Arabidopsis thaliana: one gene and its partner. The protein of the gene in region 2 interacts with the protein of the main gene of each other region in a biochemical or structural test. Each region holds a gene or a part of one and is shown on either strand. Other genes may lie near its edges.

What was found. The genes of interacting proteins can lie anywhere in the genome.
Region 1: the proteins of NRPD1B (region 2) and AGO4 form a complex in vitro, tested with the Arabidopsis thaliana proteins (2 studies listed by BioGRID).

The regions. Positions count from the first base shown.
Region 1 is NC_003071.7:11,536,361-11,543,912, reverse strand, and holds AGO4 (Argonaute family protein), read left to right. Parts: upstream 1-1,521; 5' UTR 1,522-1,686; exon of another isoform or gene 1,687-1,705; intron 1,706-2,406; 5' UTR 2,407-2,409; coding exon 2,410-2,682; intron 2,683-2,841; coding exon 2,842-3,047; intron 3,048-3,125; coding exon 3,126-3,350; intron 3,351-3,426; coding exon 3,427-3,563; intron 3,564-3,659; coding exon 3,660-3,757; intron 3,758-3,856; coding exon 3,857-3,954; intron 3,955-4,075; coding exon 4,076-4,244; intron 4,245-4,340; coding exon 4,341-4,457; intron 4,458-4,538; coding exon 4,539-4,646; intron 4,647-4,735; coding exon 4,736-4,798; intron 4,799-4,866; coding exon 4,867-4,980; intron 4,981-5,077; coding exon 5,078-5,243; intron 5,244-5,333; coding exon 5,334-5,449; intron 5,450-5,526; coding exon 5,527-5,664; intron 5,665-5,758; coding exon 5,759-5,886; intron 5,887-5,980; coding exon 5,981-6,046; intron 6,047-6,130; coding exon 6,131-6,194; intron 6,195-6,275; coding exon 6,276-6,387; and 10 more. UniProt on the Arabidopsis thaliana protein: Together with RDM3, required for transcriptional gene silencing (TGS) by DNA methylation and repressive histone modifications (H3K9me2) of several chromatin loci.
Region 2 is NC_003071.7:16,712,701-16,717,495, reverse strand, and holds the start of NRPD1B (nuclear RNA polymerase D1B), read right to left. Parts: upstream 3,037-4,795; 5' UTR 2,772-3,036; intron 2,417-2,771; 5' UTR 2,408-2,416; coding exon 2,327-2,407; intron 2,071-2,326; coding exon 1,944-2,070; intron 1,853-1,943; coding exon 1,737-1,852; intron 1,641-1,736; coding exon 1,593-1,640; intron 1,260-1,592; coding exon 1,095-1,259; intron 929-1,094; coding exon 770-928; intron 686-769; coding exon 1-685. Other genes in the region: AT2G40020 (Nucleolar histone methyltransferase-related protein), read right to left, coding at 4,643-4,795. UniProt on the Arabidopsis thaliana protein: DNA-dependent RNA polymerase catalyzes the transcription of DNA into RNA using the four ribonucleoside triphosphates as substrates.

The DNA.
Region 1 (7,552 bases), 5.2 Mb from region 2:
AATCCACGGGAAAATGCCATAACAGTATAACACATTAAATTATGATGAAATCATTTGCCATAAGACGGTATGAGAATCTACGGTCTCACTAATACCCTAACATGCATAGAATAAAAGAAGGGATAAATGAAAGCAATTAAACTATATATAGTAGATAATTGAAAACTAAACTAACAAAATTAAGAACTAAAATGAGCAAATAAACAAGATAGATAAATTGAACAATCAAGATGTTAGAAATCATGCAATCGATCTACATATTTTCAAGATAATGAACCTCTAACAATTAGGCTAATTCATGATTAGTGTGGTAAAAGCCTCTAACGTAACTTAGCCAAATTCAAAATCAATTTGGTAAACTATCACAATGGTTAAGAAACAATGCACACAAATTCCTTTAAGTTACAAAGCATCCGATCCTAAATATCACTTGCTAGATGGTTAGGCCAGAAATCGTTTTCTTTCAATTTTCTTTGGGTCTGAACGTAGACACAACTCAAACACCTCTCTTGATCTTGTATGCTTTAAAATGTGGTCTCTTCAAGTCGGGTATCTTGTTTGTTTTGGTTCCGAGTGCATCTGTCTTTAGCCACCTAGCTAGCTAGAAGGTAATTGTAGATATCCATTTTCACCAACTAGCTAGTTTTTGTCCTCCAGCTGGCTTGGCTAACTACGTACGTTCCAAATGTCAAACACTTAAAAACTATATGTCAACACTAACTAACTAAATTTATTATATCCTATATCTCAAGTGTACACAATGTATAATATTAATAACATAATTCAAGCACCTCCTGATCTTATATACTTCAAAAATGTGATGTCTCTCTAAGTGGAGTATCATTTTAATTTTGGTTCCAATTGCATCTGTAATTAACCATATATAGCTAACTTGCCGATGTGTGTAATATAACTAAACTATAGAGAATATTTGTAGATACCCTCATTCTCCAGCTGGCTAGCTATGTAAGTTCCAAATGTCACACACTTGACTATTTGTCTTTCTCCACTTATAACCTTAATCACAGATCAAGAATCATCTCCAATTATAGTTTTCTTTATTGAATCCACCTAATCTCTATTCACCAATTTATAATTTTTATAATTGCGGCTTAGATACCTTTTTAGTCAATAATCAAAAATGGATTCCAGTGAGGATCAACCATAAACGAGATCATTGAAGCACATAAACTAATTGACAATAAGTTACATAGTTTAGGAGACATAAAACTGTTTAAATTTTATATTGTGCTTAATAATAATTTATAATTATTGTAACACAGTTGTTAAATCCATAGTTATGTAGCATGTACGTGTCAATTAATGCGCACATTCAATATTAGAACACAGAAGGTTTGTCTACCACCACTACCAATTGAAATTAAAAAATTTAAAATAATCTAGCGGGACACAAAGCGAAGTCAATAACATAAGTCAACCATTTTAACGGTCAAGATTGTAAGAGTAGCTCTACTATGATGGAGCCGTGACGTAGAGGAACATAACTGAAAGCGAAGAATCCTCGATTTATGCTACTGTCACTGAACCATTTTCCTCTCAGGTCGGAGCTAAATTTTGAGAGTAAAATAAAAAAGCAAAAGAGAGAAATTGAAAAAAAAAGAAAGAAAAATAATCCTCTCTTGTTTCGGCTAGGGTTTCGTTTTTGTTTCATCGATAAACTCAAAGGTGATGATTTTAGGGTCTTGTGAGTGTGCTTTTTTGTTTGATTCTACTGTAGGGTTTATGTTCTTTAGCTCATAGGTTTTGTGTATTTCTTAGAAATGTGGCTTCTTTAATCTCTGGGTTTGTGACTTTTTGTGTGGTTTCTGTGTTTTTCATATCAAAAACCTATTTTTTCCGAGTTTTTTTTTACAAATTCTTACTCTCAAGCTTGAATACTTCACATGCAGTGTTCTTTTGTAGATTTTAGAGTTAATGTGTTAAAAAGTTTGGATTTTTCTTGCTTATAGAGCTTCTTCACTTTGATTTTGTGGGTTTTTTTGTTTTAAAGGTGAGATTTTTGATGAGGTTTTTGCTTCAAAGATGTCACCTTTCTGGGTTTGTCTTTTGAATAAAGCTATGAACTGTCACATGGCTGACGCAATTTTGTTACTATGTCATGAAAGCTGACGTTTTTCCGTGTTATACATGTTTGCTTACACTTGCATGCGTCAAAAAAATTGGGGCTTTTTAGTTTTAGTCAAAGATTTTACTTCTCTTTTGGGATTTATGAAGGAAAGTTGCAAACTTTCTCAAATTTTACCATTTTTGCTTTGATGTTTGTTTAGATTGCGACAGAACAAACTCATATATGTTGAAATTTTTGCTTGGTTTTGTATAGGATTGTGTCTTTTGCTTATAAATGTTGAAATCTGAACTTTTTTTTTGTTTGGTTTCTTTGAGCAGGAGATGGATTCAACAAATGGTAACGGAGCTGATCTTGAATCAGCAAATGGGGCAAACGGGAGTGGGGTTACTGAGGCATTACCACCTCCTCCACCAGTTATACCTCCAAATGTGGAACCAGTTCGTGTTAAAACTGAACTTGCTGAGAAGAAGGGGCCAGTTCGAGTTCCTATGGCTCGAAAAGGATTTGGAACAAGGGGCCAAAAGATCCCCTTGTTAACAAATCATTTCAAAGTCGATGTGGCTAATCTTCAGGGTCATTTCTTCCACTACAGTGTAAGTTTTTGAAACTATTTTGTGTTATTTTTGTTGGATGATTGATGTCACTAGAATGGATGCAGTGTGTATGTTTTTTTGCTACTGTTATGTTGACTTATTCTGTTATTTGGTTCTGAATGATGTCAAACTAATGGGATTATTTGTGGGTTTGTACAGGTGGCTCTATTCTATGATGATGGTCGTCCTGTTGAACAAAAGGGTGTTGGAAGAAAAATCCTTGACAAGGTGCATCAGACTTACCATTCTGATCTGGATGGTAAAGAGTTTGCTTATGACGGTGAGAAGACGTTGTTTACATATGGAGCTTTGCCTAGTAACAAGATGGATTTTTCTGTGGTGCTTGAGGAAGTATCTGCTACAAGGTAAAACATCATCTGACTATAGTCATTACATTGGTTGTGTGCTTTAGTTTTTGTTCTTAGTAAGGATTTTGTGAGCAGGGCTAATGGAAACGGAAGCCCCAATGGGAATGAAAGTCCAAGTGATGGTGATAGGAAAAGACTGCGTAGGCCTAACCGGTCCAAAAACTTTAGAGTGGAGATCAGCTATGCGGCCAAAATTCCTCTTCAAGCTCTTGCTAATGCAATGCGGGGACAAGAATCAGAGAATTCCCAGGAGGCAATACGGGTTCTTGATATCATATTGAGGCAACATGCTGCTAGACAGTAAGTGTCAAGTGTATATATGTATTTTGTTAATCTCATATATTTGTCTTTCTAATACCTATGGTACAAATTGCAGAGGTTGCTTGCTTGTTCGACAGTCTTTTTTCCACAATGATCCAACCAACTGTGAACCAGTTGGTGGTAACATCTTAGGATGTAGGGGATTTCACTCCAGTTTCAGAACAACGCAGGGTGGCATGTCACTTAATATGGGTACATAATTTCACTTGTACTTGATGTTGGTGTTTGATTCTGTCTGTTGTAGCAATAATTTAGTGTCTAATAGTTTATGTTTTGTTCTTATGCTAGATGTTACAACCACCATGATCATCAAGCCTGGTCCAGTGGTTGATTTCCTAATTGCTAACCAAAATGCTAGGGACCCTTATTCGATTGACTGGTCTAAGGTTAACTACTTATTATGATATGTGGCTTTTTCATAATCTAAACATGTTCCTTACCTCTTTTGCTTGGCTTGACACATTTTAACATGTTGTTTTCAACAGGCTAAACGAACCCTTAAGAACCTAAGGGTAAAGGTCAGCCCCTCAGGCCAAGAATTCAAGATAACCGGATTGAGTGACAAGCCTTGCAGGGAACAAACGTAAGATATTCACTAATTTGACTTTGTTGTGAGATGCATTTGTTTCTGTTTTAGTTTTCTGACGTTGTGATCTCTTTCAAAGATAAATGGTTCTCTGAAGTTTGCTTTTTACACTGTCTAGGTTTGAATTGAAGAAAAGGAACCCAAATGAAAATGGAGAGTTCGAAACTACTGAAGTTACAGTTGCTGACTACTTCCGCGATACAAGGCATATTGATTTGCAATATTCTGCGGATTTGCCTTGCATCAATGTTGGGAAGCCAAAGCGACCCACTTACATTCCTCTCGAGGTTTGCCTCTTATACTCATCAACGTTCTCATAGTCATGGTATTAATTTGTTTTCAAAAATCATGCTAATGTATGTAATGTGGTGGAATTTTCGCAGCTCTGCGCGTTGGTTCCACTTCAGAGGTACACAAAAGCACTTACCACGTTCCAAAGATCTGCCCTTGTTGAGAAATCCAGACAGAAACCCCAAGAGAGGATGACTGTTCTGTCCAAAGTAAAGTATCCTGACCGCTTCATAACTGTTCTGTTTTGTCAGTGAACTGGAATTTACATATCTTTGGTTTCATGCTTTCAGGCTCTGAAAGTTAGCAACTATGATGCGGAACCACTCCTGCGATCCTGTGGCATTTCGATCAGCTCCAACTTTACTCAGGTGGAGGGTCGTGTTCTACCAGCTCCCAAGGTATGGTGCGATCGCTTACTTTTTGACATGATGAATTGTTTTTAGCTTTTGCATACATGTAATATTCTCTTGTTTTCTTTGACTGACAGCTGAAAATGGGATGTGGATCTGAAACCTTTCCCAGAAATGGTCGCTGGAACTTCAACAACAAGGTGCTGTTTCTCTCTGCCTTTCTTTGTATTTTACCTGTTCAGAGAGTCTGATTCCCTTTGTTGTACAGGAATTTGTTGAGCCCACCAAAATTCAACGATGGGTTGTTGTCAATTTCTCTGCTCGCTGTAATGTACGTCAAGTTGTTGATGATCTGATAAAAATTGGAGGATCAAAAGGAATTGTAAGCAGGATTCTCTTCTTTTGTTTTTAGTATTCTTGAAAACTTGTTTGTGATTATCAACAATTTAGATACTGCTTCTTTCTGTATTCTGTCCCAGGAAATTGCTTCTCCCTTTCAAGTGTTTGAGGAGGGTAATCAATTCCGCCGTGCTCCTCCTATGATTCGTGTTGAGAACATGTTTAAGGACATCCAATCGAAACTCCCTGGTGTCCCACAATTCATACTATGTGTGCTCCCTGACAAAAAGAACAGTGATCTCTATGGTTAGATATCTCTTAAATCCAGTCTTCAATCATCTTTTTGTTTTATATAATAGAAGTTTCCTTGGATAAATACTTTGAATCCTTCATCAGGTCCATGGAAGAAAAAAAACTTAACTGAATTTGGCATTGTTACTCAATGCATGGCTCCAACGCGGCAACCTAATGATCAGTATCTTACTAACTTACTTCTGAAGATTAATGCAAAGGTGATCTCTCTCCTTTTTTCTCTTTTGGAAATGGTTTTTGCTTCTTGTGTGCAATCTCTGATAACATATAACTACAGCTTGGAGGCCTGAACTCAATGTTAAGTGTAGAGCGTACACCTGCGTTCACTGTGATTTCTAAGGTTCCAACCATTATCCTTGGGATGGATGTTTCACATGGATCTCCTGGACAGTCTGATGTCCCGTCCATCGCTGCTGTAAAATGTTTACTCACTGCTGTTGTTTGCTTTTTAGTTTGGCTAGTTCTTCAAGACTGATATTTAGTTGTCTCTTTTGTTATGATTAACTTAGGTGGTGAGTTCTAGGGAGTGGCCACTGATATCCAAATATAGAGCATCTGTTCGGACACAGCCTTCTAAGGCTGAGATGATTGAGTCCCTTGTCAAGAAAAATGGAACTGAAGACGATGGCATTATCAAGTGTGCACTTACACTAACTCTTGATGTGGCTTTTGTTTAATCTTTGCATGAAGTCTGGTTTAAGTATCTATGTAACTTTATTTGTTGATTGCAGGGAGTTGCTGGTAGATTTCTACACCAGCTCGAATAAGAGAAAACCAGAGCATATCATAATTTTCAGGTATGTTACATCAGAGCTTTTGTCTCTTCATTTTTCCCATCTTTATTTTCTCATATTGGTTGTTTCGATGTTTAATGCTTCTAGGGATGGTGTGAGTGAATCTCAATTCAATCAGGTTCTGAATATTGAACTTGATCAGATCATCGAGGTAGTTGAAACTTCAAAATAAAAGTTTCTCAGTGTAATTTTCTTCTTCTGTTAGTACTTAATTGCATTTCTCTTTCCTCAGGCTTGCAAGCTCTTAGACGCAAATTGGAACCCAAAGTTCCTTTTGTTGGTGGCTCAAAAGAATCATCATACCAAGTTCTTCCAGCCAACGTCTCCTGAAAATGTTCCTCCAGGTGATTGACAAATCTATATTATAACCTTTTTTGACACATAGCTGATCTCTATCTCATGGGGGTTTTGGTTATTTTGCAGGGACAATCATTGACAACAAAATATGTCACCCAAAGAACAATGATTTCTACCTCTGTGCTCACGCTGGAATGATTGTAAGTTTCATCTATCAACTCAAAACTTTATTTGTTAATGTTTGCTCCTCTGAATCGTTTTAATACTCTTTATGTTCTGAATTAGGGAACTACCCGCCCAACTCACTACCACGTCCTGTATGATGAGATTGGTTTTTCAGCTGACGAACTTCAGGAACTTGTCCACTCGCTCTCCTATGTGTATGTAGTCTCTTATTCAACCTTCATTACATTTTTTGTGACAACTTCGATTGTGATGATAACAGAAATTATCTGATTTCTTTCTTTGGCAAAATTCCAGGTACCAAAGAAGCACCAGTGCCATTTCTGTTGGTAATTACCATAACTGTTTTCTCTACTCCATCGATTTAAAGTCGTCTTCATTTGTTCTCTTAATAACTGACATTTTAATTTTTTGTGCAGTTGCGCCGATCTGCTATGCTCACTTGGCAGCTGCTCAGCTTGGGACGTTCATGAAGTTTGAAGATCAGTCTGAGACATCATCAAGCCATGGTGGTATCACAGCTCCAGGACCAATCTCTGTTGCACAGCTCCCAAGACTCAAAGACAACGTCGCCAACTCCATGTTCTTCTGTTAAATGAGCAGCCCTACTTGGCTCAGTAAGTAAGTAGTAGTTCAATAGGCTATCTGACTTTCAGCTTAGGATCTCTCTCGGCCTTGAAGCCAGGCATCGACACTAAGGCTTGGAATGTTTTTTGTGACTATTATCGCCAGCCTTGTTTGCCTGTTGGGGTTTGAATATGCTTTTGTCCCCCTTAACAATTCGGTTGTTTAATTAAAGACTTATTGTAGTGAATATCTAAGTTCAGGAAGTTACCCTTTTGTCTAAATCGTTCTTGCATTGGAAACAGACTACATACATAACCTAGACAAAGCAAAGCCTTTTGTGTAGTGCTCATGATTAAAAACTGAAACCAAAACAAATGACAGAACCTAGTCAAAGTTAAGAGTTCACGACTTGTTGTAGTGGATATTTCTGAAGTTTAGGACGTCACAATAGTTCCAAAACAA
Region 2 (4,795 bases):
GAGGGTAGAACAAATGGACACAATCACCATCAAAATCAGCACTGAGGGGGCTACACATCAGAGGGTTAATCTTCACGGTGTTGTCTTCATGAACATACACCCGAAGCGCTTGAAGAGAATGTTTATGTGTTGTCGGGGGTCTGTTGATAAACACAACATCCCCATCCATGACCCTGCGATGAACAACCTGCCCGGGTTTAAGCTCAGTGTGCCCCTTGGATCCATCCCTTAAAGAATAGGTCGTAGAACCTTGAGTATAACTCAAACACAACTTGTCGTCTACCAACTTTTGTAGATAACCTCTATTGTGGACACTAACCCTTTCCTCAAATGTGATTCTCTGCGCAATTTCTATTGGGATCCCTACCTCATTCACATGTCGGTAAGCATCTCCAGTGATGACGCTACGGGAAGAGAAACCTGAACCCTTACGGATGAAAAGTGTTCTCATTTTTTCTGTCCAAGCTTTTGAAGATGAACTATCCGAGATCTTAGACACCCCGTATCTCATATCAATGTTTCTTGCCGCTTTTGCAGTACCCCTCACCTGGAGATAGGTATCCACCACTCTAAACATCTCACTGGCTTCAGCCTTATGCGACTCAAAGTTTGTCTCGCCAGACCTAGAGCTTTTTATGGCTATGACTTTCTTCAGAACGTCCTTTAGCTCAATTCTGGAAGGATCCTGAAAATAAGAATGACACAAATCCAGGGGTTACAACACAAGCCAAAGCATTCAACTCAACATAGTAATTTAGTTTCAACTTACCACTGACATGGTGCTGAAACCATCAGAAGCCTCTGGCACTGACAAACAGTTAGGCGGGACAGGAAGATACTCTAGTATGTATCCTTCTTGAGGAATATGTCCCTTTGCCGTGAGTTTCTTTCTTGATTCTTCGGGGATCCGTCTTAGAATTTCCTTAACCTATTTGTTTTCCCACCATATGGAAAAGGACACGGAAAGTACATAATCATCAGTTTCCAGAAAGAAAAGATCTTAAAGATAGAGAATGATTCCAAATGAACAAAAAGAACGTCACCATAAAATCCTACATAAACAGAAACATAAACACACAGAAGAAAGTAAAAACCTCTCTTGCCAGCAGGGGACGCGTGTAATCGCTTCCATAGCGATAACCATATCTTTCCAGGAAATTCCAGCAACCAGGCTGCAGTCTTGACCTAGATGGGAGCTTCAGTTCTAGATATGAGGCACCATCTGATGCTCTATCTTTGATTGAGATTTGCGAAGCTTCCTAATAAAGTAATATAGTAGTTAAAAATCCAAGACGTTCAGCAATAATAACATCCAAAATAACATAAAGCAGTGAATGTTTCATGATGCCACGAAAATACCAATAGCTACTGCTTCACAAGCATTGATTAATGTTACTTTCACTGAATGGATCAAAAGAAGCACAAATACTATTTAGATTTGAATTAGCAAGTTTTCTAACATGCAACTAGTTGAAGGAAAACTTAGAAAAACTAACTAAATGCTGAACCAGGTTCACATAAGAAACATCTATCAACTTGCTTTCAGGTAAAACTTAAAAGGAAACAATCAGAATGTATATGCCATTACTCACCTCACAACAGACACCCAACAAGCGATCCGCCAGACCACCACTTGTGCCCTGTACTCAGAAAGGTGAAAAAGATTAGTCGAGATTTTATATGGTTTATTTATGTGTGGATCACATGGAATTTAAGAAAACTCAATGAGGTAATACCTTTGCCTTCTTTATCTTCAGACATTTCAAGCACAGAAGGCTCAGCATTTGTTTCAACTCATTAACATGAGCAGGATGGTATATTGGCACTGGAAGCTGAATATAACCAAAATGACCTGAAAATGTAGAAACAAATACCGATATCTGAAGAAGTATTCCAACAAATGATGTAAGAACAAAAATATAGCAACTACGGAACTGGATTACCTTCACATTTATCTGGTTCTGTCGCACCGCAAGATTCACATTTACCAAATTCAAGAGGTAACCCCAAGAATGCGTTAGTGAGTTGACTGGGATGATTAATTGCGGATTCACTAATCGATTGAATACACTGCAAGAAAGAATTACAGTCCAGTGAGAAATGGAATAGTGACAGAGGATATATCGCAGAACAACATTTATATGCAAAAGTGTAGCACTTAGCATCACACAGAGCTTGAGTACAATTATAGTGAATTTAGTGCCAAAGATAACCAAAACATAGAGGTTTTAGCTATTCGAAATCCTTCAGTTATGTAAAACCCATGATAAACATTGATGCAGAACAAGATGGATCAATTCCAGAGAGTATAACTCTTATAACTTACTATTTCATGGTGACTAGCAAGAGCAAATGTGATTCCAACAATCTCTCCGTCAAGAATCTCTGATGTAGATTCTTCCTCCATGAAAAAACCCTAACGAGCGAAAATCACACACCAGCGAGACCGAGTTAGCTCTTATCAGATGTAAACAAACAGAGAAACAAAGACATTTGAGCTCACTAACTTGATACAAAGAAAAATCAAGTCTTTGAAGAACAAGTTCTCAAATCTGTAAAAGATACAATTTTTATACTCGTTTACACAAAATCGAAGCTGTAGTAACACACAGTGAACCAAAAAATCCGAACTTTCAAACCTAGAGTAACCTACATTTGAAACCCATTTCGGAGAAACCCCCCCCCCCCCAAAAAAAAACACGGCGGAGTCATGATCGAGCTCTTTTCCCGGAAAAACATCTAAAGATAAGAGTTGGGTAAGACGAAAATACCTAAGAATTCGATGATTCAGCTGCGTATTTGACCCGTTTTGGTTCCTCAACCGGAGAAGAAACGAAACAGCGGGAAACAAGGGTTTTTGCAGGTGAGAAGAGGGAAGAAATCTGAGTGAGAGTGAAAATGGCGGACTTTTTCTTAAAAGAGGAAACCGAGAAAGAAGATTGCGAGAGAACAATTTTGGAGTGACTCTACTTTTCTCTCTCAAAAATCTTTTGTTCTTCTTCACTCTTCAGCTTCCGTCTTTAAAACCCACATTGCATGCAAAGGGAGAAATATTTTCAGTTTCGTTATTAATTAACTAAAATAAAAAGGTATCAATTTTAATTTTTCTTTATTTGTCAAACAATTGATAACACTTGGGAATATGCAATGATGATGAAAATGATTAAAACAAATATTTATCCACATATTATGCAAGACCATGTCAACAACCATTGACAAACTTTTTTTTTTTTTGAGAAGAATAAAGGATTTCAAAACCATAGAATTAGCAGTGAAGCAAAACATATAAATACTTCAAGTAAACTATTTTTTGGATTCGATTTTGGTGTTGTATATTTGATCGATCGCCATAGATGACCGTTTCCGTTTGTAGTACGCTATGTTTGATGCGATAAAAATCTAGCGGGAACGATGTTTTATAAAATAATGGTTATACCAAAAAAACGGTAAGAACTAAGTGGATCGACTTGTAAAAAAAAATTTGAGATATTTTTTGTATTCATGAATTTGTAAATAGTTCATACCAAAAAAATGAATATGTAAACAGTTGACCAATCAATTAAAGACAAAAAAACAGCTCTTTTGTCTTCAAAAATTATATATAAAATGTTAAAGTATTTTTTCATTTTATTTTGTTATATATTTGATCGATCACCATAAATGAACTTTTCAATTATATATTGATGCGATATGAATATGAAAGGAACAATGTTTTCAAGAGATAAACTTCGTTTTTATCCGAAAGAACGGTAACCAATGCTCATATCAATTTATAATGAAAACATGGAGAAGGTTAACAATAACTCTTTTTCTTCATTTATATAATTTTGTTTACACATAAATGAAGAACATGAGTATAAATTTAGGAAAATATTTTGTAAATAAAAAGTAAAGGGTAACTCCAAAATGAAGTGACAGATGATATCATACCATATTCATCACTCCCTTTTAGAGTTGAGAATATAGTGGTATTAAAAGGATTTTTTCTAAATTAGTATTTAGAGTGAAATTTGGAATATAATTGGAGATGCACTTATTGGCTCATGGATTTAAAAAGGGAACAAAATTGCATCAATTTCTTTCTATTCAGGAGGAATTAAGTGGAAAAAAATTTCATTCCATTTATTGTAAAAGTTAGCAAAAGTTGTAACCAAACGAAATACAATATGCTTCCTCTCTCAAACTTTTCCGCTGATGTGTAAAATACAAGTCAAGCTATACTTGCATTTAAGTTTATATGTACAAAAAAAAGTTTATATGTACAAATCAAAAATCAAAAGAATATGAAGTACCGGTTGATATTGGTTCTTGCATTTAGAAGGTATAATTGCAATTAAACCGACTTTCAGATTTGGTCTAACTTTTAGACTGGCTATTCAATTTACTTTAGAGGGATTTGGTTTCCACTTTCGACATTGATCTTTGGATAAGTGGGTTCGGGTACTATTGTATGACTCATACAACTACTGATAAAGACTATCTGCTTTCTCTACTCCATCACAAATTATTAAAAACCAATATCTCAAGAGATGTTAAGATGGGTCGTTTTACCTTTTTTCACCACAATACTATAGCTTACTACTACTATTTGGCTTCCTAACATATATATCAATTTGCTACTTACAGGAGCTCCATAGCTCCTTTACTTGTCCCACCTCATCTCTTTCTTCCTCCTCTTCTGTCCACGTACTTCCCTGAGAAGCTCTTGAAGTTCTTCACAAAGAGGTTCTGGAGTAAGCTGAATGATCTCATCATCATCACCATCACTATCCTCCTCTGGCTCCGTCTCCTTCTC